2 linked regions of the Saccharomyces cerevisiae S288C genome follow. Changing the gene in region 2 together with the main gene of any one other region gives a genetic interaction. Each region holds a gene or a part of one and is shown on either strand. Other genes may lie near its edges.

What was found.
Region 1: mutations in SFH5 (region 2) and BMT2 together harm fitness more than expected from each alone (negative genetic interaction), as found in Saccharomyces cerevisiae (2 studies listed by BioGRID).

What each region holds. Positions count from the first base shown.
Region 1 is NC_001134.8:515,112-531,888, forward strand, and holds BMT2 (25S rRNA (adenine2142-N1)-methyltransferase), read right to left. Parts: upstream 12,928-16,777; coding exon 11,914-12,927; downstream 1-11,913. Other genes in the region: YBR138C (uncharacterized protein), read right to left, coding at 1-225; ATG42 (carboxypeptidase C), read left to right, coding at 553-2,079; GTPase-activating protein IRA1, read right to left, coding at 2,239-11,517; MAK5 (ATP-dependent RNA helicase), read left to right, coding at 13,206-15,527; SUP45 (translation termination factor eRF1), read right to left, coding at 15,758-16,777. UniProt on the Saccharomyces cerevisiae protein: S-adenosyl-L-methionine-dependent methyltransferase that specifically methylates the N(1) position of adenine 2142 in 25S rRNA.
Region 2 is NC_001142.9:136,587-153,239, reverse strand, and holds SFH5 (Sfh5p), read right to left. Parts: upstream 8,081-16,653; coding exon 7,196-8,080; downstream 1-7,195. Other genes in the region: mannosyltransferase YUR1, read left to right, coding at 241-1,527; DNA-directed RNA polymerase II subunit RPB4, read right to left, coding at 1,614-2,279; serine/threonine protein kinase YAK1, read left to right, coding at 2,850-5,273; IRC9 (Irc9p), read left to right, coding at 5,029-5,421; protein transporter TIM17, read right to left, coding at 5,663-6,139; ROQ1 (Roq1p), read right to left, coding at 6,567-6,881; IDS2 (Ids2p), read right to left, coding at 8,539-9,948; SMT1 (Smt1p), read left to right, coding at 10,673-11,821; DNA-directed RNA polymerase I subunit RPA34, read right to left, coding at 12,102-12,803; SCF ubiquitin ligase complex subunit DAS1, read right to left, coding at 13,870-15,861; and 1 more. UniProt on the Saccharomyces cerevisiae protein: Non-classical phosphatidylinositol (PtdIns) transfer protein (PITP), which exhibits PtdIns-binding/transfer activity in the absence of detectable PtdCho-binding/transfer activity. Regulates PtdIns(4,5)P2 homeostasis at the plasma membrane.

The sequences.
Region 1 (16,777 bases), on a different chromosome or scaffold from region 2:
CTTTTCAAATTGCCATTGTAACATGGAGTTATTCTCTATATCCTGGACGACTGGAGGAGTCAAGGGCCTGGAAAGTACGGATCCTGTAGAAATATCACTGGCAATTATACTGAGTTTATTGTTGGTGTTGCTATTCATATTTGAGCTGGTATTGGACGAAAGCAAGGATAATGAGTTTGTGTCTACTGACTCCAACACCCTAGGCTGGATTTGATCTTTCTCCATCCTTTAATTTTAACCTTTTAATTAGTGGTTGGATCAAGTTTTCGAGACTATTCCAATCTGTGACTTGTTGGATAAATAGTTTTTGACTCGTTTAGTATAATCCTTTTTTCTAAAAGTGCTTAGAGTTCTCTAAGATGTTCTTGTTTACAATGTGAGCGATTTAGGAAATTTCCTAAAAATGGCCGAGGCGGCGCTAGCATTCTACGAAAGGTGAGATAACGCTTCGTTATCGAAAAATGTCAGGGGACAGGGGTTATATAAGAACGAAAATTGTCATCCTGCATTTTTTCTTTAAAACAGCTATACAAAAAGTGATACCGACATACAATGAAGTATCTAAACTTAGTTTTCGTGCTTCAGCTTCTTATTAGCATCAAATACGCCTCATTCGGCCGAGCCTTTTCTCTTTTTGAAGATGATACCACCTTTGCCAATTTGGATAAACAGCTAAAGCTTCCACAGAATACACAGCAAACCCTTAAATTGGACCGTTTGAATCACGATGATCCGCTGTTTACAACTTTTATTTCTTCTGTGGACACAGATTACAGTTTGAGACTTAGAACAGTAGATCCTTCTAAACTAGGAATTGACACCGTAAAACAATGGTCGGGTTACATGGACTATAAGGATTCCAAACACTTTTTTTACTGGTTTTTTGAAAGTAGGAACGATCCTGCTAACGACCCAATTATTCTTTGGTTAAATGGTGGACCTGGTTGTTCCTCGTTTACTGGGTTGCTATTTGAACTAGGCCCCTCATCAATTGGCGCCGATATGAAACCAATCCACAATCCCTATTCTTGGAATAATAACGCTTCAATGATCTTCTTAGAACAGCCACTCGGAGTCGGCTTTTCCTATGGTGATGAAAAAGTCTCCTCTACAAAATTAGCAGGCAAAGATGCGTACATTTTCCTGGAATTGTTTTTTGAAGCTTTTCCTCATTTACGCTCCAACGATTTCCACATTGCAGGCGAATCCTATGCAGGACATTATATCCCTCAAATTGCACATGAGATCGTTGTCAAGAACCCTGAAAGAACGTTCAATTTAACTTCAGTTATGATTGGTAATGGTATCACAGACCCTTTGATTCAAGCAGATTATTATGAACCAATGGCATGCGGGAAAGGGGGCTATCACCCTGTTCTCTCATCAGAAGAATGTGAGAAAATGAGTAAAGCTGCAGGTCGTTGTCGTAGGTTGAACAAGTTATGTTATGCTTCTAAATCAAGTTTACCATGCATAGTCGCCACTGCTTACTGTGACTCTGCACTTTTGGAACCGTACATTAACACAGGACTCAACGTCTATGACATTAGAGGGCCCTGTGAAGATAATAGTACTGATGGTATGTGTTATACAGGTCTCCGCTATGTCGACCAGTATATGAATTTTCCTGAAGTTCAAGAAACGCTAGGGTCCGACGTGCATAATTATTCTGGCTGTGATAATGACGTGTTCACCGGATTTTTGTTTACGGGCGATGGAAGTAAACCATTTCAACAATATATTGCTGAATTATTAAATCACAACATTCCGGTATTAATATATGCGGGTGATAAGGATTATATTTGTAATTGGCTGGGAAACCATGCTTGGTCCAATGAGTTGGAATGGATCAATAAACGTAGGTATCAGAGAAGGATGTTAAGACCATGGGTCAGTAAAGAAACAGGTGAAGAGTTGGGACAAGTCAAGAACTATGGCCCTTTCACCTTTTTGAGAATATACGATGCCGGTCATATGGTGCCCTATGATCAACCGGAGGCAAGTTTGGAAATGGTCAACAGTTGGATTTCCGGTAATCGTGCTTTTTCGGATCTTTCCACCTTGGAAAATGCTAGTTAGTAGTGCTCTAAAAATGTTTCACTCTTAACCTTGCAATCATTATACTTTACACAAATCTCTACGTTTCATTTAATTTAAAATCTACAATCCAACAAATATAAAACAAAATATAATTATAAGGAAAAACGTATATAATCACTGCAATACTCTAATTTAAAATTAGGAGCACGACATTCTTGCCAGTATCATTGTTGCTAATCTTTTTCTCTCATAAATTGCCACTTGATGTTCACCCTCTCCTTTTAACTTTTCTATATGTTCCTGATCAAAAATATCCAGAGGCTTCACAACTGACAAGCCTCTCTTTTTTAAAAGTTCGACCATTTCATCATTAAATTCCTCTAGGTAATTAAACTCACTGTGTGTAACAAGCATCCCAATCAATTCAAAAGAGACAGCAACCGCTTCAGATGATTGTTCTAGGGTTGATAACCTCCTGAATTCCTTTCTAGTCAGCGTATAGAACCTGAATACACAAATAGGGTTGACTTTGAGCAAATACCTCATCAATAGAGCAAAACGGAATTTACATGGTTCGTCTGACATAACACAGCTAAACAAAAGTGCTCCTTGGTATAAGACTATATTAGATTTATCTGAGTCTGAACTTAGCCAGTTGATCAAAGTAAGTGGCACTTTTAGTGTATTATTTAAAGGTACCAGTTCATCTTCGAAGCCGACTTCAAGTAACAAGGTAGAAAGTTGTTCAGGACTTAAGACCAAATGGAGTAAGAAAAGGTAACAAAGATAATCGGAGGATTTTGGGTTGGACTTTCTTTCGTAATATGTATTCTTGAAAAGGGCCTGTAGACAATCTAATGCGGCTCCTTTTACGACAGGAATGGATAAACCGTTTGCAATGAAACCTAAAATAATATGAGGAAAATTATCTTCGTTCCATATGCATCCATTGTATGACTCTAACTTAGCCAAAAGCGTAGCAGCAAAATTTCTAGATTCCATTAATTTTTTGGCTAGCGATTTGCCATCGAATCCAAGTTGAAGATGGACCGTGTACAGTCGCTTCAAACAATTTACCATGAACAGGAGACCACCTTCAAAGAGTAAAGGATGAGGGGATTCAACACATATTGTAGCAAGCCAAAATAGCTCTTTCATTAATTCTGAAGAAGGATCTAACCCTTCGACAATTTTGCTGTAAGTAAAGACATGAGCTATAATGATGAACATTTGTTCATCATCCACAACTGGCTCTGCGAAGACCTTCATGGTTTCAACTAAAAGTTCTTTACAAAGGAAAAGGGACGTGTGCGACTTACTCATTATACCTAGAATCATCATAGCTCTCGCAGAGAAGAACGACCGATGGCCAAAAATCGCATCCATCAAATATTTCTTATATTTTGCCTCCCATTGTGCACCCTCTGAAATAGAACCATATTCCATCAATAGCATAATGTTTTTAGTGAAGAGATCTAATGTTCCGAATTTACTGGAGAAGGAGGAAGCGGCAAAATTTGGTAAAACTCTACCTTTTTCTTGGCTAAAACCGGAGATAAAGTTCAACTTTTGACGTGCGAATGTTGCACAGACGATATCCAAATTTTTCCTATTCCTTTCAGGTAAGGACTCATTGTTGGTTAAAGAATGACAAACATTCATCAACAACTCGTACAATGAGACTCTTATTTCCGAAGGACCGACATCAATTAACAGAGACACAGCGAAAAGAATCTCCGGTAAATACATCTGGGAAAGTAAGGGTGATTCAAAGAAAATTGACACACTAATTTTTGATAAAATAGTAAGCTCAGACCAACTGTGTGCGGAAGCCTCAACTGCTAGAGAAGGTAGAAAAGATTTGATCATATTTATTAGCTTCTCTATTACCTGACAAGCAATCTCTGTCGTTGGAAAACTGGTTAGTATTGACACAGCTTTCATCCAGTCTCTGTTTTCTGAATCTCTATCCAGCGCATGACTTACTATTTCTTCAACTATCACGTTCGTGAGACGACCATCCAATGCCAGTAAAAACCAAATCTGTTGAAGGTAAGCTGTCGTGAAATTTGGCTCTTTGACCGTCAACCTGATTAAGCTATAGATTATACGTGAAATCGCCTCTGGTCCCTCTTCGTCATTTGCCAAATATACATGTTCATATAAGTTTGGTACCCAGTATGACAATGAACAGACAACCGTAGGAATATGTTCTTGAGGAATCACGTCGTTTTCAAGGCCATCCAGCATATATTTCCATATATATGGAGTTAGTTCCGTTGAAGATTCTGAAAAAGCCTTGAAAATTAGGGCCAAGAACGTGGTGGTATCATCGGGTACATATGTCTCTGGGGATTTGTGAAGCCTTGTCCCAAAATCTAAATTAAATGCTTCTTGCGTTGCCACGAGAAGGTTGTATGATATGTTTTTGACGAGATCATCCTCATTGAATAAACCTACAAGGATCACCAATGACAAATGTGATATAATTTCACCAACTTCTTTAACATTGCAGTAAGAAGCATTAACTGCTGAAGAGGATGTTGAAAATGAAATATCGTTCGAAAAATCCGTACCAAAGTCTTCTTCCATCTTTAACTGGGCATAATAAAACATTTTCACAATTTCTAGGTACTTCGGACTGCAAAATACCAACTTTTCTTCATTATCAAGACTTAACGTAAATTCCGAGGAAACGCCTGTGGTGTTAGAGACATCGACTGAAATTAAATTTGATATCTTGTAAACATTGTTGAATTTGATGCTGAATGTCCTGTTTGATACGGTAACCTTGTACAACTGCGGAATCTCATGTAAAACTTGGAAGTATTTGTTTCCTATCTTCAAGGACACGGGACAAAACTTCTTTTTTTCCTTGTCATAAAGGGTAATATCATGCAAAGTAACTCTTACATCTTTCAAAACTTCCAAACTCCTACCACTCAATCCTAAGGACTTTATCAAACTTTGGTCAGTATTGCTGTTGATGAAACAACGGGGAATTGTAGTGACCAAGTACGGATTTTCTACAGTATATGATGAGGCCCATTGGTCCATAAATGATTTGTTGACGTTGAAGTAATAACATCCCATACAATTACTTGATGCTTGCTCTGGTATCAAACTGAAAAATAGAGTAGTCAATTTTTGGAAATTAGCCTTACCCCCATAAAAGGTGGTACAATCGATAACTACATAATGTTTAGAGCACCACATTCTTGCATATATCTGCAGAACTTTATAGACCAGTGAGTCCATTACAAAATTATTGTACTCGCAATTGGTAAAAGTTACGACAATGATTTGTATGCCATCCAATGTCATTGCTTCATGTACAAATGGCGCATTATCCTCTTCTTCTTCTTTCATGTCCACTTTTTTGAAGGCATAGCGACTCATGAATTCATACAATGAAGGATATTTTTCCCGATTCTCGACTACAAAAGGAGGAATTTCATTTTTTATTTCCATGCTAGGTTGTCCCAATACACCAAGAATTTTGTCGTTGAGCATAACAGTATTTTTCAAAAAGCTGAACTCCCCTGGTAATTTGGATTCATTAATAATTTCTTTTCTTATGGTAAACTCATTGAGGTAAAAGAATTTATGCAAAAATGAGTAGTCAAAGCTTATTGGTGTCGGATCTTCTCTTACATTGACGGTGAAATTGTTAGTCGGTATCTTGCACAATTCAGACAAAAAATTGAATATTTTATCACTACAGGTTTTCAAAAACTCTTCTTTTGAAACTAAGATATCTTTCTTGAATATATTTTCCCTGCCATTAGCTAAACTTTGAATAACTTTAGCTAGTGTAATAAAGGGCTTTCTGTCATGGGCGTGCGTAACAATAATGATATTTTCCGAATCAGGACTAACTAAAGCAGGCCCGATAAACCTCAAGAAAACGAATGACCCAACGGCAATATATGCGTATTCTGGAAAATTTACACTAGCAGCATTGTAAATTGTTTTACAGATATCAACTAATTCTATTGGGAAATCATCAATAGAACTTGTAATTGCGTCAATTAATCTTGTCATGTACTTCTCAAATAAGTCTAACATCTTTTCGGAGTTTTCGGATCCTGGTTTCATCTTATCAATTTCAAAAGACTCCTTGTTATCCACTATCCCTTGCAAAACGGGTCTCAAAGTTTTTATCAAATATTTGTTACCTCTAGATCTAGTGTAAAGTGACAAAGCCCTTGTTGCACAACTATTTCTTCTGAGAATATCGTCTGATCTTGCGGCCCGTTTGATTTCTTGTTTAAGGAGCTCAGTAACAAGGATATGAGACGCATTTCTAGTGTCAAAGGCGTTTAAGAATCCACCAGCATATAAATCAACATCAGCAGGAGAACACGCTAAACTTCCGAAAAATGCTAATATTGGGTTCTTGATTATATATTTCAGGAAGTCGTCTATAGCTAGCATTTTATCCATTTCATGTTTCTCAGGGTTAACTGGATAGTTGGTTACTATGTCGATGAAAACTCTTAAAAAGGCGATTCTGATATCTTTATTTGGAGAATAACCCATTGGTAAAGTGAATTTTAAAGAAACGTTGACATTGGCATTAGATAAGTTCGTTAGCGCTATTATTACATTTTCATTAAGTATACTGATCTTATGCCTTAATGAAACTGGAAACTGATTCAGGTCCGCGCTTTTCTCCAGACCTTTTAACAAAATAGTAAAGTGATTGCCAAATGATACTGTAGAAGATCTGTTCCAATCTTCTTTTGAGCTTGAAGGCGGTATTTCTAAAGGAACATTATGTGTTAGGTAAGCCAATGCTTTTGCAGATTCAATAGAAGTGTCGATATACAAAAAATCTTCGTCCCTTTTCTGCAAATCCATTTCCCTTAATGGTCTTGACAGGTTTTCAAAATCATAATCCTTATTAATAGATAGTTTGAACCAACCAATAACTAACTTCAACCATTTATTCTTTAAATGGAAATGATTTGAAATGCCCAGGTTCTTTTCAGAGTGCTCAAATGCTCTAAACATTTTCGACATTTGGATAATTCCCTTATAATATTTGGAGGACTTGATGGAAATTTTCTCCACTATTTCGATCAACTTATCGACCGCATCAAGCAAGTCCGTCGAAAAGAGTAGCATTATCTTTTCATCATCATCCCTCTTTAGTATAGTTCTTATTATAATTATTATCTGCTCTAGTAAAACAAACGATGAATCCTCATGTGACTTTGAAAGATCAATTGACATCAGTTCATCTATTTTCAGTCCTAGGTTGTTAAACAATAAGTTAAAAGATAGAGGATGCAACTCAATACTTAATATATCTCTCGAATTTTCTCTTGTTAATAGATTTGGATTATTCAACCATTGACATTGTTTTGAAATAAAGAAATTCATTTTTTTCGTTAACTCGAGTTTAAGACTTTTGTGCACCTCATAAGCGGGATTTCGTGACTCAAATGATAAGCTGTCTCCTTCATTATCTGGAGCGCTCTTGCTTTTTTCCAACTCTTGCATATCAGACAGAATACCTGACATAGAAGCTAGAATGCCTGCCAAGCTTCTAAAATCTACTAGTTCCTCTTGCGTAACTGATTTCGAACAGCTGAAGTAAAACCACTTCTTGTAAATCACGTCCATTGAATCCAAAAGGATTGAGTCGGATCCTTTGATATAAGTTAAAATATTATTTCTTAGACGCCGTTGCAAAGCCACTGATCCTGAGGCAGTGAAATTGTCCTGGGCCATAGCATCTATGAAATCAATATTGTAAATGGAATATTGATCCAAAGCGCCTACGTATTTTTGATAAAATCTCAAGGATCGTAGAAATTCACAACATGAAATTTTTATTAAGCGTGGCGTATTTCCACGACTGCAGTATAATGAAATGAAAATTCCACTTCCTACAGCACCAACTAATAATGGCAGCGTCAACCTCTCCGTCGTAATTATTGCCTGGACTAGGTTGTGTTTTTCTGCTAAATTTGATAAATAAGAACGGACTCGTTGAAATTTAACAATAATGTCTAGTAGCATCTCTCTCTTCGCATTTTCTAACTTCAAATCAAACAATGATGAAGCAAACAAAGTAACGGCATATGTACATAACAAATAATGGTCATTCAGTACTCTTGGGTCAAGATCATTATCAATGTCTTCAAAAGTAGCTATATAACTTAATGGGATTTCAATAAAAGCCCGCGCTGTAACTTGTAGTCTTTGATTAGAATCCAATATAGAGACAAAAAGTGGTTTTATAATATCCGTAAAAGTCTTCGGGAATTCTGTATTAGCATCTGGGCGTATAAACCAGTTGGTCATTCTTTTGAAAATGCTGAAAATGTTCATCATAATCTTTCTTGCTTCATCATTGTCACTCAGTATTACTCTTGAATAAGAAGGCTGTTTCAATTGTTTATCATCAGCAATTTTTTTTGTTTTGTTTGGTTTTGGAGATTTGATGTTTTTCAAAATAGTTGGGGTTGCCGTAATCGAATGATTAGAAGAAAATCCTGCACTTGACGAGAGGACTGAGAGCGGAGAAGGCAAGTCACTTTGTTGCAATTGCGGCGGAGAAGAATATGGACTTTGTCGTGATCTTTCAGAGTCGTTCGGTGAAGCGTATCTCTTAGTAGTAGGAACCCCAGATAATCTATGGGCTAACAAGTTTGCATTATTATTTTGTTGTGCCTCCAACGGATTAGTCAAAATGTTAGACAAGCTCAAATCAGAAGCACTTGATCTGTTCGATAAGGTTGGTAAGATTGATTGAATATCCCAGGTGCGCGTATTGGTGATATTGCTTCCTGAGTTAATTGATAAGGGTGATTGGGAAAGTGAAGAGACTAACGAGGCATCCGATGAGTTATGAATAATTTCGGTTGGCTCAGTGTAAACGCTTGTGGCAGCATCAAAACTGACATGATCATCATTAGAAAGTGTTCGCGCAGCGTCAAATTGATCTAAAATATGCCCATCCAATATAGAAGCAATAATCTTGGTTACATTATCGTCAAAATAAGGCGTTGCTTTCAACAAAATATCAGCAATTATGCAGAAAAGTCTCTTTAACACAGAGGAGGTTTTTTCTGCAATATCCTCATGAAGTTTTTTGGTGCTTACTAGGTGAAAAAATACCCTAAATCCTTCAGTGTATAACGATATTTTGGGAAGGTCTATGTGATTGAGTTCTTTTTCCAGTTGTAAATGTCTTAAAAATAAATCAGAATCCAGCTGTAAACCGCTTGCAAAAAACTCTAATTGTAAACGCCTATGTGTAAGGGGATTCCTTTCAACACAATGAGAAATAAAAGTATTTGCAGTGGCAGAATTCCAATTGGTGCCGACCTCTAAATTTTGACCCAACAAGTTGTAGAATCTCTTCGAAAAAATAACAGAAGCAATATTTGAATCGATTTGGGATATAGAAGACGTCATTGTCATTAAGAATAGAATGGACCTGATAGAGTCAATCAAGGAAACATCTGAAACGAACTGTCCCCCATTCAAATTTCTAATCAAATATGTCAAAAATTTAACGTTACGTTTCCTGCCTTGCTGTAAAGTAAGTTTTTTTAAGCCATGGGTGAGGTGCCTGATACTTGGGTTTTTGGATGCTGAGCCCCAACTTGAAGTATTAGAGTCCTTCGGATTAATATTCATTATCGGTTCCGAAATTTTTCTATACGAATTTGAGTTCATCTCATCATATACTTCACTGTCTAATAAGGTCAGAACCACCAAAAACCTTAATATGGCAGTATGGGAGGATAGTTCTGATCCGGTATAGTTGGAATACAGCTCCATAATATTTTCCATATAGTTTAAAGAAGACTGATCGTTCTGAGACTGAGAATTATTAACTCCTGCATGCATATTTGTATTTGTCATCGATGCATTAGAATGCTGAGAAGTATCCCAAAGAAACAAGGAGTTACTATCATCTAGATTGAGTGATTTTCTACTCGAGTTAAAGGATGAAATGTCATCTAAGGAAAATATGCGTTGTGGAATATTATTAAGATTAGCGCTGTTGTTATTGTTATTATTGTTGTTAGTATTCATAGTAGAGGGCGTATCTGCATCTGTTTTGGTAGTTGCAGCCGTAGTCGATGTGGAAGTATTCGCCTGTCCTAGTGTTGAAGTGATTGGAGATAACGGATACCCTAGGATGTTCGTGTTTAAGGGTGAACTCAATGATGCCATAGGGGAAGTAGGCGATGCATCATTCCCAGTAGAAAACTGAGACGGAGAAACATTGCCAGAAGCATTCACACTCGACTGCTTTATCGACGTTTTTGATATAGAGTTTGGACTATTAGTGTTGGTCGTCTTTGATGAAGAAGATGAATGATGAAGATGGTAGTGGTGGTCATTATTGACATTTGTTAATAATGATGATACACTAAAAGTGGAATAAACGTCATCGAATAACAGTGAGACTAGTTGGGATATAGACGTTTTATCAGAATTATTCGAACCACCATTATCAGATGAAGAAGACGGACTATTATAATCTGATGATATTAGATTGTTATAAATTTTGACGTATTCTTTTGGCCTTGCCATTATCCAAAATAAAAAAGCTTTGGAAGCATAATATAACAAAAGCGAATGAAAAATGGTCCTCTTCATGTAACTTGACAGGTGTTGTAGTATGTCCAGATATGCTAGCAGATTCTTATCAGTCAAATACTCACAACCAAATAAATCCAAGTGGTTTACTACGCCCAATTCGGTTGAGGTGTGTGATATCAATAAAGGTGCAACAACTTTTGTTTTGACACACTTTGTGAATTCAACATGATTGGAAGCAGATATGAATCTCTGGATATAATCTATTGTTAAATCTATTTTCTCGGTATATGCTGGATAGTTTCTCTTTTGTAAAAATTCCTGTGAATCGGGTAAAATACTCGATTTTGAGATAGTAGCGCTGCCAGAAAGATGGTGAGACATGTTCTGTAAAACCTTTAAAGTTCTTGTATTGAACTTCAGCTTAGAAATTTTACATAGTAACATCGTCGCCAAAGCTGGATTGATTCTCGTGTGCTTTGGCCTAGATGTATGGAAGTTTGGCCTGTGACTTGAAAATCCCGGTTTGTAATTATCGTTTCTAATTTTCTTGAAGTCATTGTTTTGATCCCAGTAATACTCAAAAACATCACTCAGTAATCTCAAAAGAACCAATATAGAATGGGCAATATCATCTGTAATATTGTCAGACGTAATTTCTTCATCTTGCACAATCAAGTCAATTAAACCTAATGTGTTTTCGATAATCGGGTTCAAGTCCTTAGTGATGGCTATATTCAAAATGATGGACCGACACGAATTGAAAACTGAATCTGCCTCCACATCAGCATATGTTTTCAAATTAGATTCTATGGGAAGAACAAGTAGAAGCCTATCAAAAAAAAGATGCTTGGTCAAAGAGTATTCCATTGGGAAATTTTTTTTGTCTTGCGGATCGCTTTGATTCATTTTAGAAAGAGCCTTAATCTTGTTGTATGTTATATGCTGAAGAAGAATGTTAAGTTTGAAGCTCTATTTGCAGGGCAAAAGATGATCACTTGACTTTATACGCTTTCGTTAAATAGCTTAACCACGCGCTGAAAACTACTATGAGCCCAATGCCAATAAAATGATCAAAGGCGTAAATGAAACCGGTACTGTGTAATAAGCGGAAAAAAAAAAAACAGTTAATTGTTTCAATCGTAATACAAAGCGAAAACCTTTAGTATATTAGTTTTATATGAGCAGTAACTCTTGTTATTCTCCTTCGAACACTGTTCATTTGCTCATCTTTTACTTAACGTTTTTACACATCTTTCTATATTGTATCCCTTTATGAAAAACTTCCAGGCGGTGTCGGCTCGCTTAGAGGGTAATACCAAAATTGTTCAACCCAGGGCCGTCGTTAACCTTGATTCTTTTGGAAAAGCTACTCGGCTGCGGTGGAACTACCTGCAATTGATACAAACAATAGTACAACTTATTACTTTGATGGCTATTAAGCATTATGAGCCCGATAGAGCCGAGGAGGTTTTGTAACAGTGTTTTGTCGCAGTATCTTGAGTGCGTCACACAGGCTTGTGGCAGAACAATAAAGATGTAGCCTTGCGGCTTGAGAAATTTGACCATGCGATGGCACATTGCACCGCGATCCCTGTGATTTTTGACAAAATTTAGCACTAGAGAGCATGATATCAGGTCGAATTTGTCGTTTTCATTTCTCGGTAGCGGTCTTTCCATAAAATCCTGCTTAATAACGCCTTCATGTTCCTCTAAATCTATACGAACCACATTTCTAAAAAGTGCACAACGGGATATGCGATTTCCGGAGCTCAATGAACCAATTTCTAATGCCACTGCTCCAGGACAATTTTCAAATGAGGACCTGATCCATTTCTCGAGCAACTTGGACGTGTCTCCTCCTCGTTCCTTCAATTGCCCGTTTTGACTGGCAATTTGGTAAGTTTCTAGTCCTCCCAATTTATTAATCTGATTCATTATGTAACCAAGTAATGTGTACATCACAGCCAAGTCAGAAGTATCCTTTGATTTGGATTCATTTTTAATTAATGAGTGCAGCCTCAGTAGTTGTGATTCCATAGCATCATTGAAGGACTGCGATTTGCCGTCTTCATAGTACTTGCCCAGTCTTACATTACCTTTAATACTTAACCTGATAATTTTGTCATTCTTCTCCTCGTTGGAATCATCTAGGTTTTCCTTAAGGCATAAAAACTTGCATATCGATTGACGCTTATTAATTAAATGGTGGAATCTTCTTATTATCCTTCTTGTCTTCTGTGGCTTGATTACTCTCGTCACGTTACTTCCTACTTGCTTCCTCTTGCCCGTAATACTCTTCGACTTTCTTGAATGCATTCCGCTGTATTAGTGGTATCGCTAAGCTGATACAAGATTGCCATCAAGGTCATGGCTAGCTCATCGATATTATAATTGTTATATTTTTTTTCACCTCACAAACCCGCCTCAAGGTTAGTTAGTCCGTACTTTTCTTTTTCTCTGAAAAACTTTTCCAGCGATGAGCTTATAAGAATTTCCATCTAAAAAAGTTATATTCGCCAACCTGCCCATCATTATCATCATAACCTCAGGTAGAAATTCTTTAGTCAAATACCGGCATAATCAGTTTTTCCATCATGGGTAAGAAAAGGGCTCCTCAAAAAGGAAAAACGGTCACAAAGCCACAGGAGATAATTGTAGATGAATCCAAATTGAACTGGAAACCAGTAGATATTCCGGACACTTTAGATGACTTTGGTGGATTTTATGGCTTGGAAGAAATTGACGGAGTGGACGTTAAAGTCGTGGATGGTAAAGTAACTTTCGTCACCAAAAAAGATTCAAAAGTGTTAAAAGATAGCAATAAGGAAAAAGTCGGAGATGATCAGGAATCTGTGGAAAATGAATCAGGGTCAGATTCGGAGTCCGAGCTCCTTGAATTCAAGAACTTGGACGATATTAAAGAAGGAGAGTTGAGTGCAGCATCTTATTCATCATCCGACGAGGATGAGCAAGGTAATATTGAGAGTTCAAAGTTAACCGATCCCAGTGAGGATGTGGATGAGGATGTGGATGAGGATGTTTTGAAAGAAAACGTCTTTAACAAAGACATTAATATCGATGATATTTCTCCTGTAAATTTACCTGAATGGACGAATCTTGCACCTCTCTCAATGACTATTTTGCAGAGCTTGCAGAATTTAAATTTTCTCAGACCTACAGAAATTCAAAAAAAGTCTATTCCAGTTATTATGCAAGGCGTAGACGTCATGGGGAAAGCCTCTACAGGTTCAGGTAAAACTTTAGCCTATGGTATTCCAATTGTAGAGAAACTGATCAGTAACTTCTCTCAGAAAAACAAGAAACCAATATCGTTAATCTTTACTCCTACAAGAGAACTGGCGCATCAAGTCACAGACCACTTAAAAAAGATCTGTGAGCCTGTTCTAGCGAAATCTCAGTACTCGATATTATCTTTGACAGGTGGACTCTCTATCCAAAAACAACAACGTCTATTAAAGTACGATAATAGTGGCCAAATTGTCATCGCAACACCAGGTAGATTTTTGGAACTGTTGGAAAAAGACAACACTTTAATCAAAAGATTCTCGAAAGTAAATACGCTAATCCTTGATGAGGCTGATAGGCTGTTACAAGACGGTCATTTCGACGAGTTCGAAAAAATCATTAAACATTTATTAGTAGAAAGAAGGAAAAACAGAGAAAACTCCGAGGGCAGTAGCAAAATTTGGCAAACTTTGATCTTTTCTGCAACATTCTCCATCGACTTGTTTGATAAGCTATCTTCTTCCCGTCAAGTTAAGGATAGAAGGTTTAAAAACAACGAAGATGAGCTAAATGCCGTAATACAACACTTAATGAGCAAAATTCACTTCAACTCAAAGCCGGTTATAATAGATACAAATCCTGAGTCAAAAGTGAGCTCTCAAATCAAAGAATCCTTAATTGAATGTCCTCCATTAGAACGTGACCTATACTGCTATTACTTTTTAACCATGTTCCCAGGTACAACTTTGATCTTTTGTAATGCCATTGACTCCGTGAAGAAATTGACCGTATACTTAAATAACCTAGGCATCCCAGCTTTTCAAATTCATTCTTCCATGACACAAAAGAACCGTTTGAAAAGCTTAGAAAGGTTCAAGCAACAAAGCGCTAAACAGAAAACAATAAATCATTCGAATCCGGATTCCGTTCAACTCTCAACAGTATTGATTGCAAGTGATGTTGCTGCTAGAGGTTTAGATATTCCGGGTGTTCAACACGTTATTCATTACCACTTACCAAGATCTACTGATATTTATATTCATAGATCAGGCAGAACTGCAAGAGCAGGTTCTGAAGGTGTCTCTGCCATGATATGCTCACCTCAAGAATCTATGGGCCCATTAAGAAAGTTAAGAAAAACTCTCGCTACAAAAAATAGTGTTTCGACGGATTTGAACTCTAGATCAACTAACAGAAAACCCATCAAGTGGCAAAACACTGTGCCTTTGTTACCAATTGAAACCGATATACTTTCACAACTCAGAGAAAGAAGTAGATTAGCAGGCGAACTGGCTGATCATGAAATTGCTTCTAATTCCCTAAGAAAAGATGACAATTGGTTAAAAAAGGCTGCTGATGAATTAGGTATTGACGTTGATTCCGACGAAGACGATATATCAAAGAGTAATTCGGACACTTTCTTACTAAAAAATAAAAATAAAAAAATGCAGAAGACTATAAATAAGGACAAGGTAAAAGCCATGAGAGCTACGTTGAACGAATTGTTATCAGTGCCTATACGTAAAGATAGAAGACAGAAATATTTGACAGGTGGGCTAGTGAATTTAGCTGATAACTTGGTCAAAAAAAGAGGTCATAATTCTATCATTGGTCATGAAAAGACAAACGCCTTAGAAACTTTGAAGAAAAAGAAAAAGAGAAATAATTAATCTCGAGGCTTTTGAAGAGAAACTCTCCTTTCACTGTATTTTCTACGTAATATACACGGTCCTCTAAACCCACTATGTACTTTCAACAAAGGAATTAGCTCAATATAGAGCAAAAGGTTTACCAAGTATATATTATATTGTACAAAAAATTAAAAGCGAATTTAATTTAAATCTGGCATCTAGTGATTAAATTCTTTTTGATTCGATTTTTTTCTCCCCCTTTTATTTATTTAAATGAAATCATAGTCGGATCCTTCATCTTCGTCATAATATTCATCCTCAGATTCATCAACTAGTTGTTCAAAATTAACTTTGTAACGCAGCATGGCACCAATACCACCAAAACCTGTGACAAATTGGGCACCTTCTGAAGATTTGTCTGTGATGAATTCCAAGGTAGCACCGAAGTTTTTGTAGTTAGCTGCTAGCCATTCAATTAAAGGTTCTTCGGAGACAACGTCCATTTCTTGGCCGGTAGCTTTGTCAATAGCAAACGACTTGTCCTTGGCTTCTGGTTCAGCGAATTTTATAACCTCATTATCCTCGGCATCTTTAAATGTATATCTGATAGTTTCCAAATTTTCGAAAACAATTAATTTTTCGACTGCACCTAAATCCAATGCCTTTAAAGTATCATCTATACCATAACAGAATTTACCAGTGTCCTGGGAAATTTCGTCAAAATATGCCTCCAATAATTTCTTTTCTTGAACATACTTGACATTGGCCAACGCTTCGGCAGAAAGTTCGATAGCCTGGTTGAAACCGTTTTCACCACCATAAGAAACATCCACGATGGAAATAACCTTACATGCTAGTCTTGGATCGAATAATTCAGATTTAGCCAAATCGGTCTTAAAGTCAGCAGAACCAGCTAAAATTAAACCCTTAACATTGACTTTGTCATTAGTAATAAAATTTTGAACAGCAACTTCGGCGACCTTTCTCACATAATTATGTCTTTTTTCTTCTCTTAAACGAGCAAAACGAAGCGCAGATTGACCACCTCTACCATGCTTTTTTGGCAGATCGACAGTAAATTTATGTAAAACAGTTCTCGTATTACCGGACACAGAACCAAACAAAGTACCTTGACCGTCCATGACTATAAAACCGAACTTGTCGTCAGCTTGAAGCAATTCCGAAAGAACTTCTGTATGAAATTTGTTATCACACAAATATAAGGATGTGTTGATAGGTTTGTAAGGTTCGATGTCAAAAGTGACCTTTTTTTCTTTACCATCTTCAGT
Region 2 (16,653 bases):
CCACTTTCCCCTTCATTTTCTTCTTTTCTTTGTGTGTGAAGAGTAACTAGCTGTTTTACTGGTCGCTTTGGAAATTTTCTATACATTTTTTTAATAAAGGAAAGTTAAAGACAAAGTACTACGCCTCTTTATTTTTCATCTGCAGAAATAATCTGTCACTGCTTATTCATATCATCTCCAAATCTAATGCTTGGAAGTCGCTATCAAAATTAAAGAAGTTTATCATCAGAAATTGTTAAAATGGCAAAAGGAGGCTCGCTATACATCGTTGGCATATTCTTACCAATATGGACCTTTATGATCTATATTTTTGGCAAAGAGTTATTCCTCATACGAAAATACCAAAAGATTGACAGTACGTATACTGCTCTTTCCCAAAGAGTAAAAGAACAATATGATACAAGTCGAAGAAGAAACTATTTTCCTAAAGTAAAACTTTCCCGCAATAGCTACGACGACTACACTTTAAATTATACCAGACAGAATGATTCTGATTCTTTTCACCTACGAGAAAATGCAACAATTTTAATGCTGGTGAGAAATTCAGAATTAGAAGGGGCATTGGATTCAATGAGATCATTAGAGGACAGATTTAACAACAAGTATCATTATGATTGGACTTTTCTAAATGACGTTCCTTTCGATCAAGACTTCATTGAAGCTACAACATCAATGGCGAGTGGGAAGACCCAATATGCTTTAATACCACCAGAAGATTGGAATCGGCCGCAATGGATTAACGATACACTTTTTGAAGAAAGACTTCGAGTCATGGAGGATGAGGGTGTTTTATATGGGGGATCCAAGTCATATAGAAATATGTGTCGGTTTAATTCTGGTTTTTTTTTCCGGCAGTCAATACTGGACAACTATGATTACTACTTTAGGGTGGAACCCAATGTCAAGTATTATTGCGATTTCCCATATGACCCGTTCAGAGTTATGAGATTGAAGGGCAAAAAATACGGATTTGTCATATCATTATATGAATATGAAGAAACCATACCAACCTTATGGGACGCGGTAGAGGAGTATTTAGTGGCCAGCGAAGAGACCATTTTACGTAAAGAGGACAGTGCCTATGCATTTTTGACCGATTCAGGGCTAGTTGGTAAGCATTATCCCGTTGTTGAAGCAAACTCTGACTACAATTTGTGCCATTTTTGGTCGAATTTTGAGATTGGCGACTTGAATTTCTTCAGAAGTGACGAATATAAGCATTTTTTTGAAACTTTAGATGCCAAGGGCGGATTTTACTACGAAAGGTGGGGTGACGCACCTGTACATTCAATTGGTGTCTCCCTACTGCTGAGACCTGACGAAATCATTCATTTTGACGAACTTGGCTATTTTCACTCACCGTTTGGCACCTGTCCAGCATCTTACGCTGTTAGGCTCGATCAGAGGTGTAGATGCAAAAGCGATGATGAAAGTGTCATAGATATAACCCCACATAGTTGTTTGATGAGATGGTGGAAAAACGGTAGCGGCAAATATTTCTTAAAAGAAGAGCAAGACGAGATTTAAAATCCTGTCCTTTTTCCTGTTAAATAGGCCTAACTTCCACAGGGTGAAAATTCATTACTAGTTACACACACGTATACATACAGTTATTAATAGAGTGTTTCTAGGTTTGACAATTCCTTTAGTATCCTTTCCAACTCATCGTCTGATATTTTATTGTTTAAGCTTGGAATTAAAGTCTTTGCTTCATCAGCTGTGTCACAGGCCAAAGAACCTAGTTGCGCCACTTCAAAAGGATGTAACCCAGTGCTTTTCAGAAGCTGTATAACTGCCCCGACGGTTTCTTGGTCTCTAAATCGGGAGAAATTTGTTAAATACTGCATGGTATTTTTCAAATCTTTATTATTTCCTCCCGTTGTCTGTTCTAACAGAACGTCGATAGACTCCAACTCCTTCTCCCTAGTTTCAGAATGCATAAAATCATCATCATCAGCGTTGACGTCATCTTCATCCAGATCATCATCTTCATCCTCTACTGCCGTAGTTTCATCATTGGCGTTTTCGTGCTTCAAATGCTTCTTCTTGTGTTTTTTTTGCGATCTTTTAAATGCTCTCCTACGTTCTACAAGAGCTTCTTTGATTACTAACCTGGCTTCACTTAGGTTCAAGGCAATCAATTCCTCCTCTTCACCCTGATGATTTATCTGTTTCAGCTGGAATTCCTGGCCCAGTTGTAGAGTAGCTGCATTTTCTTCTTCCTCCACTTTCTTCAATCTTCTCCGTCTTGTTTGAAAGGTTGATGTAGAAACATTCATTTTTCTATATTCTTATATATATATTTTCAATACGGATGAATATTTGTGTACTTTCGCCCTCAAACTCAACTTATTAAGATGCAGCAACCCATTCAAGTCTCTTTCTTTACTTTTGTCTCACCGTTAAGCATGTACGTATGTGTGTAGGTATGTTTAATAGCTACCTTGCAAAAAGTTTGAAGAATGACAATATCACTATTGTCGCGTTGCACGTAAATGACACCTAAAAAGGATTTAGGATTTGGAGAAAAAAACTAAAAAAAATATAAAAGGCCTAATAAAAATATCAAAATAGCGCGATGGCTTTATTAACCCTAACCGCCCCTTCTGAACCATTGCAAGCAATGCCCCCTCCTCAGATTTACCCCTTCTGGGCTGAACAATGAATGAGTCGCAATGCTAAACAGATATAAGGAAACAATTGGTGGGCCATTACTGGGGGTATTACACAAATTTCTCACTATTAGATTTGGGAATATATCGAAAGAAGAATTTTGGTGAAGAGCAACAGCCATTGTGCAAGGGAACATAATTTCGTTATCTTTTTTTCACATGCTAATTTGAGCAATCATGAACTCATCCAATAATAACGACTCGTCCAGCTCCAATAGCAACATGAATAACTCCTTGAGCCCGACCCTTGTGACCCACAGTGATGCTAGTATGGGCTCGGGTAGAGCAAGCCCAGACAATAGCCATATGGGGAGAGGTATATGGAATCCATCGTACGTAAATCAAGGCTCTCAAAGGTCTCCACAGCAGCAGCATCAGAATCATCACCAGCAGCAGCAGCAGCAGCAACAACAACAACAACAGAATTCTCAATTTTGCTTTGTTAACCCTTGGAATGAGGAAAAAGTAACTAATTCTCAACAAAACCTGGTGTATCCCCCTCAATACGATGACTTAAACAGTAACGAAAGTCTAGATGCGTACAGACGACGTAAATCTAGTCTCGTTGTACCTCCAGCCAGGGCACCTGCCCCAAATCCTTTCCAGTACGATAGTTATCCCGCTTACACCAGCTCTAATACGAGTTTGGCAGGAAATAGCAGTGGCCAGTATCCTTCTGGCTATCAACAACAACAACAGCAAGTATACCAGCAGGGCGCTATCCATCCTTCCCAATTTGGATCCAGATTTGTTCCCTCCCTTTATGATCGTCAAGATTTCCAAAGAAGGCAGAGTCTGGCTGCAACTAATTATTCGTCCAATTTTTCTTCCCTAAATTCAAATACTAATCAAGGAACAAACTCCATACCAGTCATGTCACCTTACAGGAGGCTTAGCGCATATCCTCCTAGTACAAGTCCCCCACTACAACCCCCTTTCAAGCAGTTACGAAGAGATGAAGTACAAGGTCAGAAATTGTCCATTCCTCAGATGCAACTTTGCAACTCTAAAAACGATCTTCAACCTGTCTTAAATGCTACTCCAAAGTTTAGACGTGCGTCGCTCAATTCCAAGACGATATCTCCCCTAGTCAGTGTCACGAAAAGCCTGATTACCACATATTCTTTATGTTCTCCAGAATTTACCTACCAAACGTCCAAAAACCCCAAGAGAGTACTTACGAAGCCCAGTGAAGGGAAATGTAACAACGGATTCGACAACATAAACAGTGACTATATTCTTTATGTAAATGACGTTTTGGGTGTAGAGCAGAACAGAAAGTACCTTGTGCTAGACATTTTGGGTCAAGGTACATTTGGTCAAGTGGTCAAATGTCAAAATTTGCTGACGAAAGAGATATTGGCTGTAAAAGTGGTTAAATCGAGGACAGAATATTTGACTCAAAGTATAACGGAGGCTAAAATTTTAGAGCTACTGAATCAAAAGATAGACCCTACTAATAAACATCATTTTTTAAGGATGTATGACTCCTTTGTCCACAAGAACCACTTATGTTTAGTGTTTGAATTACTAAGCAATAATTTGTACGAATTATTAAAACAAAACAAATTTCATGGGCTCTCTATACAACTTATCAGAACATTCACCACTCAAATACTGGATTCGTTATGCGTTTTGAAGGAAAGCAAACTGATTCATTGCGATCTGAAGCCAGAGAATATCTTGCTCTGCGCACCTGATAAGCCGGAATTGAAAATTATTGATTTTGGCTCATCTTGCGAAGAGGCAAGAACCGTTTATACATACATCCAGTCCAGGTTTTATCGTGCTCCTGAAATTATACTGGGTATACCGTATTCAACCAGTATTGACATGTGGTCGTTAGGTTGTATTGTTGCTGAATTATTTTTGGGTATACCGATCTTCCCAGGCGCTTCTGAATATAACCAATTAACAAGAATAATAGACACGCTTGGATATCCTCCATCGTGGATGATAGATATGGGTAAAAACTCTGGAAAATTTATGAAGAAATTGGCACCAGAAGAAAGTTCTTCTTCTACACAAAAGCATCGTATGAAAACTATTGAAGAGTTTTGCAGAGAATACAATATAGTGGAAAAGCCCAGTAAACAATATTTTAAGTGGAGAAAGTTACCAGATATTATTAGAAACTACAGGTATCCTAAAAGCATACAGAACTCCCAAGAACTTATCGACCAAGAAATGCAGAATAGGGAGTGTTTGATCCACTTTTTAGGCGGTGTGCTAAATTTGAACCCGTTAGAAAGATGGACACCACAACAAGCTATGCTACACCCCTTCATAACAAAGCAGGAGTTTACAGGTGAGTGGTTTCCTCCAGGATCGTCTTTACCGGGTCCTTCAGAAAAACATGACGATGCAAAAGGCCAGCAAAGTGAATATGGAAGTGCGAACGACTCTAGTAACAATGCAGGCCACAACTATGTCTATAATCCTAGCTCTGCCACTGGTGGTGCTGATAGCGTCGACATTGGTGCTATCAGTAAAAGGAAGGAGAATACATCTGGCGACATCTCCAATAATTTTGCTGTTACTCATTCTGTTCAAGAAGGGCCAACAAGCGCGTTCAATAAACTTCACATTGTCGAAGAATAAATCGTTATTTTGTCTGACTTTTCTTAACTACCCATTTCATTTTATTACGGCTTGGTGCCATAATGATATACTAAATAAATATGAATTTTGCCTTTTCTTAATTTTCCTTATACGTATAGTCATTACAATTAATAAAGTAACATTATAAAGTTTCTGCACTAGCTTTTGGCTTGTTGATATTTTCTCTTCAGAGATGAAGTATGGTACTTTTTCAATATATAATATGTACATGGTTGAGAGAAATGGTTGGTAATCTTGAAATAAAAGGCTGAAATAAAGTAAAAACGTAAAGGAGGCTAGTGCGATACGTCATTTATGTAACAAAAAACATGCCGAATAAGGGTACTTCCAACAACGATGAAAAAATGGCTCATATAATGTCTACATGCCTAAGCTTGCAGAGGTTGAGAGGAAGGTGCTTCGGGCAAAGGAGGAGCCATAGGTTTGGCTTGCCAAGCAGCATATCTTTGAAACATTAGTCCCACACCTTCAATCACACCCAACAAACAAGCACACGTGATCGAACTGTTCCTTGTATGCCTCCAACCACCTCTTACAGCTAAAGCGCCACCAGTGAAAAACCCTGCAATGATAGCATTCCATGGGTCCTCTCTCTTTCTAACGGCCTTCACAGCGCAATCAAAAGTCGAAAATAAACCACCCCACACACCAAAATTACCACCCAGTACGGGAGCACGCGCTTTAATGGCGCTCATAGCTCCTGAACCACGCTCACCTAATGGCGAATTTCTAAAACCTTTAATCCCATGCCAAACAACACCACCAATGGCACCCATGGCAAAAGCACCACCGAAATCATTTAGTATGACTATAGGACATGGATCTCTCGAATGATCGGCTGACATAACGCTCCCGTGTACTCTATTTTTCTTAACGCTTTCTTCTGAACTTGACTCTTTCACAGCTTTTCCATCTTTTGATGAGAATAGTGCTTTTATCCTCTGGATTTGGCATAAAAATGGAAACTTTGGCGCAAGAATGCCGGGTTACCCACTTTGTTGAACAATAGCAGTAAAAAAGGCGTCCGATGAATGTTCGTTGTATACACCCGAAGATTTCTGTATTCAATGATATATATACATATCTATATGAATATACTATACACTTTATGCACAGAAATTAATGATTTGATAAAGTCCCGCTATCCTTCCGTGGCGCCACTGACAGTGGCATGTTATGAAATGCATATAATCGTTACAACCCCGAACCCGTGCGTGGGCTATTCAGTATAACCCGAATGGTATTGTTAGATATGCTTTATAATGCTGGAGTTCATGAACAACGGCGAGAGTGAACGTCTCCACCCAGACTGCTGCCGTGGCCGTATCGACTGCCGTTTTCATCGTCACCATGATTATTGTTGTTGTTATTATTACTGCTTGTGTTTTCCTGTATGCCTAAATTAGTCAGCTCTACAAAGTAGTATATCACGCCAGGCTGTGTAGGCTGGTTATTGATCCCGAAATCGCCCATGGGAGACTCCTCTACCAAGGAATCCACTCTAGTCTGGTCCCGCTGGCTCCTGAGTATACTACTGTTGCTTTTTTTGTGTGTCCTGTATATTGTTGAAGTTTCCCTCCTTAACATCTTCTTCTTGTTATCTTATCTCTTGTTTTTGCTGACTTTTTTCCCTTGTAAATACCTTTATCTGCGATCTTGTTCACCTTCGGTGCGTTGTCTTTTATATAGGCGGATCTGATCGATCTGTATCCCTATTATTGCCATTACCTTCTAGAAACATTTTCGCAGCCCCTTCGTTTCGTACGGTGTTTTCTGAGCCATATAAGTGAAGATACGTGAGAGATAATACAGTTAGATGGTGATTTACCTGAATATAAGGCAAAAATAAGAAATTATTATAGGGTTTATATAAGAGACTATTATTAGATCATGCCAACAAATCACTCAACGTCCTCGATGATTTGTTTTTGTAAAATGTAAAGGCCGTATTCTGTTGGATGGACATTTGTGACATTTTGCTTGGTCAGATTGTTCTTCTTATCTTTCCCGCCATACCCTTCATATGGGCAATCCTTCAAGTATTGACCCAACTTGCTGCCGTCGGTTAATACCACGAACTTCTTTCTGGTGGTTTCGTCAACGAACTTTTTGATTAAATCGTAAACCCAGCCGAAAACGGTGGGGACATTAACAAAATACTTTGCATATAACAGTTCTGGATAGTATTTTTGAAAGATTCCAATGACCGTCTTGCTACAGTTTTTAATGTCAGAATCCATTCGCCACACGGAGACGCCTTTATAATCGTGGACTTGGGTCATATAGTTGTTGTCGGAGCTGGTGAAATCTAATAAGCTCAAACCCTTTTCCATGAGCCCGATTCTGTAGCGTACAAACTTATCCACATTTTGAAACAATTCTTTTTTTTTGACCAGTTGGCCGTATAAGTTCCAAGTGACAGCCTTTTTATTTGCGTCGCCGTTTGCATCGAATGTCAAAATACCAACGTTTTGCAATTCTGTATTATGGACTTCCTTGTAGGCACAACTCAATGGGTTGAATTCCCTCCTCCAATTCAAAATATCGATCAGGTTCTGTACAATGGTGCTATATTCAAATTGATAGGCTTTGCAAAGTTTGTAGGTTAGACGATCGGCGATTTTTTCGTCATAGTATTTATCAACCTCCTCTTGTGTAAGACCTTCAGGATTCAACTTGTAACCATACAATTCATCGTATCCTGCACATTTTTCCTTGATAATACCAGGAATCGCTTTTTTAAGCTTATCGAAAACCTGCTTCTCACTGTCATTGTCGAATTTCATTTTAAGGATGTTAATTTAGTGAATTAATTACGATTGGGATTCTAAGTAGGAAAAAAAAAAGAGGTACAATTGCAATGTACAGCTCGTTTTTCTTGGTGCGATCACTAATTAGTAAAGCGATGGACATAGTTTTTTTTTTTCATTCCGCCCAATTCTAGCCACACCCGAGAATGTAGAAGTGCTAAAATAACCTTGAACTTTCAGATATAGTGATGATAAAGGAAACCAAAAAAAAAGGAATTAAAAAGAAGGATAATGACTATGTGGTAGTATACAAAAGGAAGTGATTACAAATACGGTGTACCGGCATGTTTCAGCAAAAAAAAATATAATTTTTTGTTATTATAACTGCATTTTAATGAAACACATTATAAGTATGATGGGATTAACTATGAAGAGGGTACCGGACCGCCTTTAATGAATATTGAAGAATTGCGGAAAAGCAGTACTATTCTTATTTAGTTTGCTTGGTTCAAAAAGTCTCGCCAAAGATCTAGCCACTTGTTCATAATAGATTCTCGATGTTGACCGGCAGCAATGTAGTTTTGTCTTTCCCAAGGTTTCAGGATTTTAAATTCGATTATCTTATAATTCAATCTATTCGCTGGCACGCTAGCTATGGGAACAGCACAGTATCCAACGCTATCTATATAACTCCATTTATCGCCAAACAATGCTTTCATAATCTGTAAATCGTTCATTTGATGAAACATCGACCTTTTACTTTCACCTTCAAAATCGTTCCCGTAAATAGTAAAGTATTCCTTAATGCACATTGCTACTGCCCTGTTCGGCTTCAGTATAATAATTTGAGGATCGTCATCATAATTTTCAGCGGAAGATTGGTCTTGGTTCACGCTAACGAGATCTTCATTTATATAATTTACCTTATTCGATAACAATACACAAGTTTCGTTATCAATCTCGTCAGATACTTCAGTGCTCTCTAGAAGCTCATCAATATTTTGCAGTACCAGGCATGTAGGGGATAAATAGCAAATCAATTCGAATCGATCAATTAACGAAAAAAAAAGAAATAGCTTGCACCACTTAAAATTCAATTCGCCCTTGGTTTCGGTCGATTGCGAACTTGCGCTAAATCCCGAGCCAGTGCCGAAATTCATGAATAAATTGATATATTCATCTATTATCAGCGTCTTGATTCCTACCTGGGCCAATTGAAAGGCGTTGACTTCACTGGAATGCAATACCCAGAGATTATACTGAGAATTGACATTCTTCAATGACTCGGCCAATACGATGACAGCCTGTAAAGATTCTGCCGATGAATCGTGCAGTATTGTTATCCAAGCCCTGCTCTGATTAAGAAAATCCCCAGGAGAGTTGGTTGGTTCATTGGAAGATGCGCCGGAAAACGAACTTCTTGGGTTCAGTAAATGTCTTATCCACTGAACGTCCTGTATAGAACTACGCCTTGTAGTTAAAGGTGGAACATCCACCGATGGTTGCCTTATTGGTGATGCCCTTTCGCTTGGTTCCGGAGATCCTAGAGTCAAATCGTTAAGGATATCTGAAACAGACTCTCTCGTCTCCTGTCCCAAAGAATAATGATGTTTGAACAGCTGATAATCCTGCTGCTGTTGATCAGATTTTTCGCGTGTTTGAGAAGATCCATAAAGCCTTTGCTGCTGCTGTGTCGACCCTCTCGCAAGTGATGAAAGATTCATTGCATTTCCTTCCATCATCGTTGCTGGTTCAGGGGAGTACCTATCAGTGGGAGTACCTATGGGAGAATTATTAAAATTTAACAGTAATGGATTATCTTGTGACTCGGACCATGACTTTCTCACAGCAGCGGCCAGATCACCGGTGATATCTTCAGATATACTTTCCTGCTGATTATCCATTTTTATTATCAATCGTTTTTTCTTTCTTGCCCTTTTGATAAATAAATAAAATATATTTGAAAAAGATTGATATCAAGAATCCAGATATCTTTGCGTGGTAAAGCGGTGATTCGTGTTGCAATTTCCACCTCTTTTCTTCTCTGCCAATTTTGAACTCGACTGCACAATTCGATTGCTTCAATCATGCTTGTGTTTCTGTCCTGCAGCGCATGGGGAAATTTCCGAAGCAAAGATGGGAACAGTCAAGAGCAAGAGCAACAGCAAAAGTAATAAAAGACAGTAAAAAGCACAATATACTGCTATCGGCCGTACATAGTAAGTTAGATTAGTGAAAGAGAGGCAGCAAAAACTGCTGATAAGTTTTTGCACCGAAATGTGCCGCTAACTGCTTCTTGTTTTGCTGCAAGTTGAGAACCCGTAGTGTCATAGCATATAAATAATCTTGTAAACGTATACTTACATAAAGACATGAGTAGAGAGCGTAATGACACCAACATTTTTCCCCTCAATGAAAGTGTCGAAAATGATGGTCCGATATCAACAGTCATACAATAATGTGACAGCGGTTTTCTGTTTGTGCGAAAAGAAAACAGTAGAATATAAATTGCGTTTCAATATAGATTTACGAACCCTAAACAACAACACGCATAAGTAATTGTGCTGGCTAAAGGGAAATAGTGCGTGCGCTGCCTTTTGTCAATTTTATCTACAGGAATCATTGATTATGAGGAGGACTTTTTCTCAGTTAGCAACCCGACTATTGAAGTCGAAAGATGATGAGCTGAAATCAACTCTAAAATACTTGACCAAAGGTCCAGTGAAGTTGTTGGGGCCTTTGTTTGAATCTTCTGAAGTTAATGAACAAGGTTCCTTATTGAATCGTTCACGCACTAAAGAAAATAATCTTCAAAATCACCATATAGAGAACATCCTGAGAATACTGAATTCAAATCTACCGGAAGTAGAGTCCAAGAAACAAAAAGTAGCTGTTCATTACGATGTGCTTTTCTCACATTTGAACTCAATAGTTACCCAGGCAACGGATAACAAAAGTTCTTCTTCGAAGGAACTACAAGGTTCATCGTCCGAGGATCTATATGATAGGCTGCTGCTTTTGCAGTATGTGGGCAAGTTAACTAATGTGCGTCAAATAACAGAAATTTTGCTCTCAAAAAAGTTCAACAAATTCGATAAAGTATGGGAGCACAGAGCCTTGTTTGACGAATACCAAAGAGTAGTGATATCCATCCTGTTGTATTATAGAACGCACGATGTGCAAATAAGAAAAGACTACGAGCCTCGTTGGTTGTCCGATTACAGTGATCTACCGTTTCCTCTGCGACGTCTTTTGTGGAGATGTCTAACTTCTAACGTATCTGAAGATAATATTCGTCAAAATATAATTCATTACATTAAGCTTTTAGGCGCAAATTGGAGGAATAACGATTTGATTTTAATTTATCAATCTTTGTATGAAAAGTCACATATATTGCCTGATTTAACGGTCCTGAACCACAATAAAGATGATGGTTTCTCTTTCACCCAAAATCAAATCCTGCTTGTTCGTATTTTAAGGGCTATTTCGAAATGCGTTGAAGAGGAACCAAAATTGGTCAAAAAATGGTTAATTGATATCGTAAAATTGAGTATACAAAGCAAAATAATGCTGGAGTCACCGAAGAAACCGTCCACACCAATAATGGACCAATACAAATTTATTAGATCCTTAGATATTTCTATACGGAGTATCCATCGGACGTGCCAGGATAAACTAATCTTTGAAGATTTACAGGTCAACCTTGGAAGTGTATTAAAGATGATTAATGAAGAAGAACACGAGTTAAAAACACACTTACCATTGAACCTCATATAAGAGAGAACACAGAAAAAGCAGGTTAATAATATTCATATGGCGACTCTAAATCAAGAAAAAAATAATCGTTTGTGTTACACCCGAAATATTGAAATTTCTAATCGTATACACAAATTTAAGTATGCAAAACTAAATAGTAATATTGCCCACACAAAACATTCATCAGTTTCCACCAGCAGAAATGCCTTTTTATATATGTAAATGCGAAAAAAAATCACTGACACACACACAAATGCACATTTTTATCTTATGTTACACACAGTTATACGCACATACGCATTCAATCTCTATGTTTCTTTTTCTTATCCTTTTTATCCTTCTTCTCCCTCTTCTCCCTCTTCTCCTTCTTCTTTTTCTTCTTTTCACTAGACTCCTCTTCATCGTCGTGATGTGAACGCTTCTTTGGTTCTTTCTTATTTTCTTTAACTTCCTCAGCCACATGGAAATCTTCGGCATCATAACCAGTAGCAAAATGCTCCAACTTCAAGCCTTCTACTTTTGGAACATCTTTACGTGGAACTCTTACCTTACTGTAATCAATAGCTGGGATTTTAGCGGTTTCGCTGACAGAAAATACCTTGTCAAACTGTAATGGTGCATTATCCTTGGCAGTGCTAGCAATTTTAAGACTTTCCTTACTTTCCGAAGGAACCAATAAAGTCATATTACTGAGGTTATCCTGTGTTAACGAGGACTCAATATCTGTATCGTCCATGATTTTATAATCGTGTTTATCAATTGTCATGGTTGTAGAGGATTCAAAATCTACAGGCAGAGATTTTAACTTGGAGATGTCCACATTTGATGGGAATTTGATCAGCCAAACCTGTTGCTGTTTCGCTTTTTTTTTGTTATCACCGTTGAGAGGGAAATTCTTTAAATGTTTACATTTCTTGAAACCATCTGGTATGCTGAACTCGTTTGATATCACTTCATCATCAGAGTCTGAATCTGATACGTAATCTTTCGAAAGCTTGGACATATCAATTTTTTGTTAATCCCGTTTATTGAATCCTAGCTGCTCACTGCTCACTCGATCACAGACCTATATGATACCGAATACCCTATAACTTGAGCTATTCAATGCTCATCGATAAAATTTTTCATTTCTTTAATTTCATGTTTGAGAAAAAAAGTTTCGCAACACCCAATAACCACACGCTGCCCTAAGAAAAAACTTTCTCAGGCTGAAAAGAAAATTTTTTTTCATTTTCTAGAGCTTTATGGGCAGAAACAAAATGTATAAATACTGGACAACCTTCTGTAAGGTTATAATAATCTCGACATTCGGTTAATAAGAATTCCCCTACATAAGAACAAACAGCAGTGACTGTAATGTAGTAAGAATGAGAGTAATCCTCCTCTTTCGACTTCAGCATTGCACTCCTTCCCATTTGATACATTCAAGTTTGAATAATCTCAAGAGAAATTTCATGACACTTTTTTAAACAGAAAAGAAGAATTGATTGGCCCTGATGATAATGGTGTCTCTTCTTTCCTCGTCCGATTCGACCATGACGACAAGGGATTTTATCTCGTTCTCTTAATGCGAATGATTTTGAAAAGATGTTGCTTCTGTGACATTTTTTTTTAATCATTTGTGTTTGCAAACGGGAACTTTTCTTGCCAGTGTTATACAACACATGCAGATCTGAGCCTTTATTTTTTCTCATGAGATTATCAAATGTGGGTAATTTGAGGAGACAGATAATATATATAATTTATGATCACGGTGATGAAAGACTGGTTCCTTAACATTCGCAGTTTCCACGGTAGGAGTACGCTTACGAACCCATCGTTAGTACTCTCGGTGACCGCTCTTCTTTAGAGACCTTCCTAGGATGTCTGAGTGATCGTATACTGTAGTATCTTGTGTTTACTTTATCAAACCAGCTTACCAACATTGGAATAGTTGGTTGATTTTTTTCTAGCATCCGAATGGATCTTGTATTTCCTTAATATGAAGTAGACCAGTAATCTGAATCCTGCTAGCTTAAAAAATGCGTTGAATATATATTATTAAATATATATATTTGAAGGGGAGTTGATTACATAACAGTGGCTATTCTTGCAATGGTATCAGAATTATTATTGTTGTTGTTGCTGTCGTTCTCCAGATTCTTGTTCGATTCCTTTGACCATCCATACAGATTACTCTTATAATCATAATGATAAAAGACGGGTTCAAAAATACGTTCATTATTCTCCTCCATAACTATTGTGGGAATGTCATTCAACATCAAGAATCTCAAATGAGGAAAACTTTTCAAAAAAGTAACGTAAATCGACTTGAAGTGATGGATAAGAGCGTGATAACACATAATAATATCTCTTTTGGTCAATGATTCATGAGGAAGTTCCAGGTCAGTGGAAATTGTAGCTGCTGTGTCATCACTACTTGGAGGAATGGCCGCATTAATTTCATCATCATCATCATCGTCATCGATTATTATCATTTCGGGCTCGCTCATATGAGCGGTTGATGTGGAAGTCACGGTGGAGTGTTGATGTGGGTTATTAACGATTTTGGGCACCAACTGGGATTTAGAATTTCTATATTCCAAAAGGTTGCGGTTCATCTTGGTCACAAAATTAGTCAAATTCATTGGTTGTGTTCTAACGCTCGGATAAGCATCACAAGCTTTAGAGTATGGTAACAAAGATAGGTATTTCATCATTTTAAAAATATCCTTTGCAGCAATGTCTTGAAGATCGTGAATATAGTAGTCTTCAGGGAACATGAATATTTTGCCCTTCAGAATGTCACTGAATACTATTTGACAGTTTGTGCAGTTGCATTGCTGATTTAGTTGGAACTTATTTTCTTGAATATTGATGATTTGTGGGATAAGACCGTCGTATCTCAGATCTATGAATTGCAATTTGGAGCAAGCTAAAAGAATGGAGAGAAATATGTGAGGATTTGTGGGTTCAGGTACATACTCCTCTAAGAAATCCATTTTTAGTCTTTTCAAATTGGTTAACGAACTAAAAAGATCTACGAGGATATGAACATCCTGCTTAATAGAAATCAAAGACAAATCTTCCAGGTTCTCAAATTCTTTAAAATCTTTCAGCATTTCTGTCTCGCGTTTTAACAAAGTGTCATTCCAAGAAATGATGGTAAGAATTTTCAATGTCCTCTTGTCAAAAACCTCCGATAGTTTAGTCAGAGGATTGCCGGGTCGTATCTTTTTAACAAAATAATCATTATTGTAAAACTCCCTCCTCCAATGCAATTTTAAATCGATGATTTGTAACTTGATATCTAAAGGGTAAAGATAATTGAACAGTTTTAAAGGGTCGATGAATAAAGTCATATGAGAAAGCCGAGAAGAGATACGCTGTGAAAGATATTTGGTGAGATTCGGAATGTAATTTTCGGGAACAACCATCTCAGGCAATGAATTTGGAGGAGCCATGTCGAAACTTGAGACGTTGCTCCTGGAAAAGTGACCATTGGAGATGATATCGTTACAAGCCGGGTCAGTGACGTTTTCTAGTCTTTGCAAGGACTTGCCCTGATTGCAAAGGATGCTGAGAATGGACCTTTGCAAGGTAGAGTCCAAATCCCAGTTGATCCTTATCCACTGGATGACTTCAGTAATGTGAATATTATTTTGCAGTGTTTCTATAAGTTTTTTCAATTTGCAGTTGGCGATATCGCGGGACTCCTCTTCTTTCAACGAAGACGGCAAGTTCAGTAGGGTCCAATTAATTGCGAGATGCATGAAGTCACTCTTCACTACATTTGAGTCGTTCAAATATATTCTTCTATAAAGCAGTTTGGTAGCGATCTTATTCAACCTTTTGTTCACAAGGCAAAGCTGCAAGCGGTCTGGTTGCGGCAAATGAGAGAATACTTCTTGCATGAGCTCATCGGGGAGCTTTGTTAGCGGGAACACGTAGTTTTTGCTCTTGGCGGCGAAATTTATGTTAATATCGTTAATATCTCGTAGCGCTGAAGCATCTGCGTTACTTTTATTGTTTCTGTTAATGAACGCTGCTTTTTTCTTCTGAAAATAATCTTGAAATGGCATGATATGAATATAAGCTGAGTTGTAAACACTGTGTATAGACGTCCTGGATATTTTGCACGGAAATCAGATCTCCATCGAAATCTACAATTCGCTTATAATCTATATATATTCCTCTTTGTGTGGGACGATAAAGTAGGGTAATACTTGCAATGAGAAAGAATACTCTGGTGAACAGGTGCATTTTGAGAGGGAAATAGGAACTAAGAAAAACAAGTAGAGGAAAAGGGGTGTAGTGCAGTGCAGTAAAGCGTTGCATTGATCGTATCTTGATAGATATACCGGTATATTACTGAACGTTTACATTCACCCTACAACATTTATAAATCTTATATATTATACATGCAAACTCGTATTTGTGAAGTGGGCATATAGTTTTTCGCTATGTATATAGCGGATGAGTGCGTTGGGATTACTATTTCTTTAATGCACGTGATGAAGGCTCGTTTTCTTTTTTTTTTTTTTTTTTTCTTTTTGGGAACGGGGGAAAAGGTCTCACTAGTATATAAAGGAAAGAGAGTACAGCACGAATGAGCCAGCTGCAGGAAAGGGGCTAGGTTAAAAAATAAAAACCCAGCAGAAAGCAAACAACCAAATATAATTTAGAAATGGACAGAGACCATATTAATGACCATGACCATCGAATGAGCTATTCCATCAACAAGGACGACTTGTTGTTAATGGTTTTGGCGGTTTTCATTCCCCCAGTGGCCGTCTGGAAGCGTAAGGGTATGTTCAACAGGGATACACTATTGAACTTACTTCTCTTCCTACTGTTATTCTTCCCAGCAATCA